Nothobranchius furzeri: one gene and its partner. The protein of the gene in region 1 purifies or fractionates together with the protein of each later gene. This does not show direct contact. Links are inferred from orthologs where the notes say so. Each region holds a gene or a part of one and is shown on either strand. Other genes may lie near its edges. The genes, in order: map3k4 and growth arrest and DNA damage-inducible protein GADD45 beta.

Evidence for each region.
Region 2: the proteins of map3k4 (region 1) and growth arrest and DNA damage-inducible protein GADD45 beta purify together in Homo sapiens (co-immunoprecipitation; 3 studies listed by BioGRID and IntAct, counting the BioPlex papers as one, with this or other methods). This does not show direct contact. The link is inferred for Nothobranchius furzeri from reciprocal best matches to the Homo sapiens genes MAP3K4 and GADD45B.

What each region holds. Positions count from the first base shown.
Region 1 is NC_091752.1:17,929,529-17,933,348, forward strand, and holds part of map3k4 (mitogen-activated protein kinase kinase kinase 4), read right to left. Parts: intron 3,720-3,820; coding exon 3,306-3,719; intron 3,171-3,305; coding exon 3,013-3,170; intron 1-3,012. UniProt on the Homo sapiens protein: Component of a protein kinase signal transduction cascade. Activates the CSBP2, P38 and JNK MAPK pathways, but not the ERK pathway. Specifically phosphorylates and activates MAP2K4 and MAP2K6.
Region 2 is NC_091748.1:78,786,114-78,789,601, forward strand, and holds growth arrest and DNA damage-inducible protein GADD45 beta, read left to right. Parts: upstream 1-1,502; 5' UTR 1,503-1,688; coding exon 1,689-1,732; intron 1,733-1,885; coding exon 1,886-1,987; intron 1,988-2,066; coding exon 2,067-2,295; intron 2,296-2,403; coding exon 2,404-2,517; 3' UTR 2,518-2,935; downstream 2,936-3,488.

The DNA of each region.
Region 1 (3,820 bases):
ATTCAACTGTTTGTATTTTAACATCGTCCTTGTAGTTTTATAAGCTGATAATTAAATTGAAGCAAACATCTTTACTGTGAACTAAATTTACTGTCTATCTTCATTACTTTTGCCATTTGATTTTACCTACTGGGAAGTTAGAATTTCAGAGGAGAAAGCGAACGCACCATTAGCTGATAACAACGGTGGCAATGGAAGCTAACATATCAAGCTAATGTTATCTTAAACAGTTTATCTAACTGCTGGAGCAGATTAAAACGATGATGCCTCACACTTAGATCGTTGTCACTGGTTTCATCTTCACCCAATCACCCGTCGCATTTAGTAAAGTGAAGCCAAACTTTAGAGCGCGTTCATGTTCTAGTCGGAAATTCGGAGTTCCGAGGAGAAAGCGAACGCACCATTAGCGGAACGGAAGCTAACATATCAAGCTAACGTTATCTTAAACATTTTATTTACCTACCGGAGCAGATTAAGATGAGGATGTCTTAGATCGTTGTCACTGGTTTCATCATCACCCAGTTACCCATCACATTTAGTGAAGTGGACCCAAGCTTTAGCGTGCGTTCTTTCTACCCATGCTGCTCTGTTTACAACTTGCTCGCAGGGACCGACAACATAACGCTCTTGCGCATGCGCAGCTGTCTTGGCAAGTTCTCGTTATGAAGGACGGGTACCGAAACGAGGCACCGTTTGAAATGACGTGAATCGGTGCTCAGTCGGTACTGTTGAATTCGGTCGGTACCTTAAAAAGTACCGAATTCGGTACTCATCCCTAAATGACGCAGATTTTTTTTTTTTTACTAGTTAAGCACTTCTGGGATGTGTCCAAAATGTGACAATTTGCAGCAAGTAAAAACACACCCATCAGCTATAACAGCAACTAATTGTTGCGTACTGTGCTTTGCGAAAGTTATGCGAAGCTTACGCGTCCGGTGGAAAGGCCGAGTAGAACTCCTACTTGTCCAGAAGAAAAGAAAATTATTAAAGGTTTGCTTTAGTCACCTACTAGAGCTGAGGAAAATAATCAAATAATCGATGCATCGGGATGCGGACATAAACGATTCTTCATCGTAGAAGAGTACGCCATAATCGATTATAGTGGAATGTAGTTTTGTTTTTTTAACGGCGGCACTAGCGCAGCATCCAAATCTGTCAGAGTGAGCGTCCTCCACATTTACCTCCGCCTTAATGTGGTACTGCAGGGCTGAGCGCTGGAGTTGTCACCTGAGACCAAACCGGAACCGAATCAGCCCAACCGGTTCTGTTTGATTTGGGCCGTGAATTATGTTAATTGAGCGGGTTGTCGTGCGGCGCGCTCCGCTCGCTCGATCAGCGACAGAGAGAGAGAGAGAGAGAGAGAGAGACTGTCTGCTCACACAAGAGAGACGATCGGAGGACGCTCCTCCACACCGATGCTCCAAACACGCGTTATTTTCATAATTTAATTATTATTTCTCCTGGAAGCGCTCAGTCAGACTGCTTGTTGTAATGTAGGGAGATCCGGTCTTGGGGAGGGGGCGGGGTCAGTGACGGCGGCTGCAGCGTGATCGTCTGTCTCTTTTATTTAGGGAGACGGATAAGTTAAAAGGAGAGGGAAATGGAAGTTCTCGTTCCACTTTATTCTTTTGTTTCATGATGATAAACTGATGTTAAATTCAGCTTCAACAGAAGCTGGGAGGAAGCGTTGGTTCATTTTAAGTTACAGGAGGTCTTGTCTCCTATCTGCTCCTCCTGAGACAGCATGGACATGAGGGTCACATGGTGAGGGTCCCACAGGACAGGTTAGTGGAAAGGTTTGTAGTTAGCTGGTTAGTGAAGGAGATCCATCAGCTGGGTAATTTAATCCTAATCCAGCCCACAGCCTTCAGCTGGTGTTCTTATCAGGAAGAATAAAACACACATCTTAAATATTATTGGAAGTGTAGAATTTGTTTTGTGTTTTATTATTTTCTGCATCAAACAGAACTTGATTCATTCTCCAACATGTCAGAAATGAACCACTGGGTTCAAATGAAATTAAGTCAAACATTTCATTTGGTGTTATTTCTGACACCCTTCAACTGTGGCATAAATATTGGACTCTAGAGCTGCTCAGAGACATTAAACACTCATATATGAGCCCATTATGGATTTTATTATTACATTATGTGTCCTGAAGGTTTTCAGTACTTTTTTAGATTTTGTGAGTTTTTGCAAAGCGTGTTTTTCTCAGCCTGAGGCGTGGTGTTGAACGAGGAAACAGATGTTTTACTTTGTTAAATCTTAAATGTTTAAAATGTTTTGTCCTAACCTGTTGTGAATGGAGAGCTTTTGAGGAATGGCAGGTTGTGTCAATTACGTTTTAGATTCAAATCAATTCAAGTTTTTTTATATAGCGCCAAATCACGACAAGAGTCGTCTCAAGGCAATTCACATAATAAACATTCCAATTCACAGTTCATTAAGCCAATAAGAAATAATGTTTCCTATATAAGGAACCCAGCAAATTGCATCAAGTCACTGACTAGTGTCAGTGACTATACAGCAATCCTCATACTAAGCAAGCATGCAGCGACAGTGGAGAGGAAAACTCCCTTTTAACAGGAAGAAACCTCCAGAGAATCCTGGCTCAGTAGAAGCAGCCATCCTCCACGACTCACTGGGGATCAAAAAAATAGATAAAAAAATAAAAAGCAATTATCTGACATCTTCTATTTATCGATGAAAACAAATCAATATGAAATAATCGTGATGCATCGTGATGCATCGGGATATCGAATCGAATTGAATCGTTGACCCAGTAATCGTAATCGAATCGAATCGGGAGACAAGTGAAGATTCACACCTCTATCACCTACACTGGTGAAATTAATCATTATGCTGTTTGAGGGAGACGTTGTGTGTATTTTTTTTTTTTTTTTACTTTTTACCACCAACGATAAAATAATACACATTGTATAATATGAACTCAACATTTTTTGCCAGACAGCACCGAGAATGGCACGATTGAACCCTTGCAGGTTTACTCACCAGAAAAGCTCCCCGGACTGGGCCTCGCCTCCACGAATGTAAGGAGTGATGACTTTAGTGAAGTGCCATTCCTCCTCCAACAGGTTCTTTAGACTGTGAGAGGCCTGAGGCAGCTGCTGCAACATTCTGATCCAACTGCGCATATATTCAAAGTAAACCTGCAAAAACAAACGTATTATACGTATATTATATATACACAACCCCGTTTATGAATTTTTACAGTTCCAAATTACAAAACTATCCAGTTTTTGTCCATTTATAATTTGAGTAAACGAAGAAGGGAAGATTCTTACCACCAGCATCTTGTGAAGATCCTCCTCAAACTCATCAATATTCGCATTCGTCTGCCAGCCTTGAGCATCGGTCACCAGCCCACGCAGCATAAACTGATAATACTGCTTCATCAGAAGGCCTCCTTTAAGAACTTCTTTACATTCACGAACCAGCTGCTTAATGCTGAGCAGCGATGGGTCTCCAGCCGGCCTCTGTTCAAGTCTTAGTTTAAGGCATTCGTGAATAACATTGAGGAGGACTCGGCAAAGCACGAGAAAAGCCGGCTGGAAGGATGGGAGATCCATACCCAGCAGATCCTCCCAGGACACTTGGTCAGCTTCTGTTTCTGGATCAGTAGGACCACTGCAGGACAAGTGGCGTGACAGCTCAGGCAGGTATTCGCTGTCCATCATGGGGTCTGGGAAGTCAGCAAACTGAGGAAGAAAAAGATGCAGTGGGTCTGCAGGTCTAACTAACCCTAGGATTTTTCAAAAACCGTTTGGTAGTAATAAGTAGACGAACTTTTTTTTGTCTA
Region 2 (3,488 bases), on another chromosome or scaffold:
TAATTTAATTTAAGAACTAAATCTAAATGTAGTCATTAAACTGTTGCTATACAGTTTTAATAGTGTGCAGATTCATCACGTGACTTCTTGTTTTGCCTCATGAACTCTGAGTTTTCTGCATCATGATGACTCATTAAGTATTAACCTATAACCACATGGAGACAGCAGAATCATGCATTTCCCGGGCATCTTTTAAATATTTTGTATTTAAAATACAATTTATTTTATTTCAGGCTTTTTATTTAAATAATTATTTTTAAAATTTATTTCTCTAGGAAAAAACATGTCAACATCTTGCTGATAAGGAATGGAGCCCTCTGCGCATCATCCTCTCACAAACTAACCCACCACTAACCCTAACTACAGCACGGCCGATGGACCTGAGCGTAAAACAGCCTTCTGGTTGTTTTGTCTTGATAAATCCATCAGTTTCTCACAGATCGTAAAGCTACGTTTATATGATCTTCGTGTCTAAATCCTGCTCATGTTTTCTGTCTGAAACTGTTCATCAGTGAAAACTTGACTCGTTCTCTGTTTTTTTATTTTTATTATTAAAAATTCCCTCTGGTTTCTTTTAGGATTCATAGGAATCATCAGACTTTTGTTTTCAGTTTCATTTCTTCCTCTTCCTCCCTGATCACGAGCATCCAGAAACTGGATGCAACAGAACCCCCGGGACCCCCCCGGGACCCCCCCAACGGGGCCGGTGTTCGGAACACCGAATGGAGACGTGTTCTGGTTTCACTGCTGCAGGGGCGCCGCTAGGGGCGCCCTTGGGCTTTGCAGGAAGCCAGAATGTGAGGCATGAATCTGCAGCGCAGAAGTGATTCCATCCATCTTCTTTAACCGCCGCATGGTCGCGCGGGTTGGTGTGCAGAAGTAAATAATTCAGAGCTTTTTATGCACAAAATAGTTGTATTTATATTTTAGAGTGTCTGCTCTGTGTGCTGCAGCTGCCTGATCATAGTAGCACAGGTGTTGTGTCTTGACCTGGAATATCATAAAGCAGGACCTCCAGCTGCACGACCAGCGATGGGTCATCTGATCTTCTCGTGCTGGAGAATCTCGCTGTTGCACAACCTGCAGCGCGTTGTACAATGGTGGGGGTGGAGGGTGCGTGCTGCTGCGACACAAGGCTGGTCACCTGCTCCCGCTTCTTATCCGGGTTCTGCATAAAGTCGTGCCTGCATGGATTCAGATTGAGGAGGAGTCGTGAAAAGGGACTTTTTTTTTGGGGGGGGGGTCTGGAGTAGCAAGGAGGATGAGGAGGAAGATCTGGAAATTCCTCCTCAAGACAGAAAAACCCTCCCAGTAAACAAACTGACAGAGAGAGGGGAGGGGAGAAGTGCGGGGGATTCTCCGAAACCACCCACGTGGGATCGCCGGTTTCTGCTGCGTGCTCGGCCAATCAGCGAGTGTCTTTTGATAGCAGAGGGCCAATCAGTGCTCGAGCAGTTGCTCGCGTTGACGGGAGGCTATAAAAGCGGAGAGTTTCATCTTTTAGAAGCAGAACGCTTCTCTCTCACACACGGAAACCAGCAGCAGGACCTGTCCCTATTACCGGACCTTGGTACCGATCTGGATTAACGCTTGCTTGGCACTTCATCTCTGGAGCTTACCGGAACAGCTGAGCGCTGTGGATATTTGCCTTTATCCTGGATCTTGTGGATTATTTAACTGACTTCGACATGACTCTGGAGGAAGTTGTTGGGTCTAGCAGCACCGAGAAAAAGTAAGTATTTGCTTTCAGATGATGCGTAATTACGCACAAGCTCACATTTTAGTGCAAATGATGCAAGATTATCAGAGTGTTTAGAGCTCGCGCCGGTTCTGTTGCGTTCTGTGCCGGTTTCGGTCCCGTCTAACCGCCTCTGTGTCTCTGCAGGATGGAGCCGGTGAGTCAGGCTCTGGAGGAGCTGCTGGTGGCGGCGCAGCGGCAGGACTGCCTCACCGTGGGAGTCTACGAGTCCGCCAAACTCATGAATGTGTAAGTAGGAGCTGTGACCGACTGGTGCCTGTACGCGCGCCGGTGCTGGTTCTGACCCGGTTCTGTTCTCCTCCTACAGAGATCCGGACAGCGTGGTCCTTTGCCTCCTAGCCACAGATGAGGAGGATGAAGATGACATCGCGCTGCAGATCCACTTCACGCTGCTTCAGGCTTTCTGCTGCGACAACGACATCAACATCCTGCGGGTGTCCGGGATCCGGCGGCTAGCCCAGCTGCTGGGCGACGACACCGAGGACGGGAACGGCAACGGGGGCGAGCCCCGGGACCTGCACTGCATCCTGGTCACTGTAAGTTCTGAGCTCGCGCTGCTGCATCAATGGACCTGACTTAGATCAGAACCAGGAGATGAATCTGTGTTGCATGAAACTAAAGCAAATGTCCGCCTTGTTCTGCAGAATCCCCCGGTCCACCCGCTGCAGTGCCAGGCCCTGCAGGACGTCAGCAGCTTCTGCAAGGAGAGCCGCTGTAAGAACCAGTGGGTCCCCTGCCTGGAGCTGCAGGACCGCTAACTGGCGCCGAACCGAGCAGAACCGCCGAGGAGCGGTGGATGGAGCTGAATTAACGCAAACGACCAGTCCTCGTGAGAAGAGGCGTAACGGCGTTTGAGAGGCGCGGGACCGAGCCGTGGATGCATAAACCGACCCATCCGGTCAGGAGCGCGTGAGGTGTCGTTGCTGGTTCCGAGAGCCGAACCGAACTGGACCGTGCTGGATGGCGGAGTTACAGAGATGGAGGCGTTTTGATGCGATGAGTGATAGCGAGGAGCTGCACGTGACGTTCCGGACTGGGCTGCAAGTGATGCAGGTGTTCCGCTCACCTGTTCGGACACAACTGGACACTTTGTTTTACAGTGACGTCATGTCTGATTATTTACCTGATGGAAGAATGAATCAGCGTGTTGATGTAAATAAACAGTTGAAAGATAAATGACTTCCCGAGTGTTTCGTGCGTGTGTGTGTGTGCGTGCGTGCGTGTGTGTGTGTGCGTGCGTGCGTGTGTGTGTGCGTGCGTGCGTGTGTGTGTGCGTGCGTGTGTGTGCGTGCGTGTGTGTGCGTGCGTGTGTGTGTGCGTGCGTGCGTGTGTGTGCGTGCGTGCGTGTGTGTGTGCGTGCGTGCGTGTGTGTGCGTGCGTGCGTGCGTGTGTGTGTGCGTGCGTGCGTGCGTGTGTGTGTGTGCGTGCGTGCGTGTGTGTGTGAACTAAGTTCGGTTCTGAAAGGGTGCTGGGATACTGTCAGACTTACAGCCAGCAGCCTCAGGCACAGGAAGTGCTTATGCAAGAGTTTATCCCGGTGCATCATGGGAAGTGTAGTCATCTGCAGAATGAGCCGGAAGAGTTCCTCAGAGTTCAGATTAAAGGACCTGGAGTCATTTCTTCTTCAAAACAAAACTGATGAGAAGCAAACAGAGTCAGAAATAATGAATCCTTTACTTAAACTGATTATCGCATCAACATCTGGGATCAAAAGTTAATTTTTGAATTA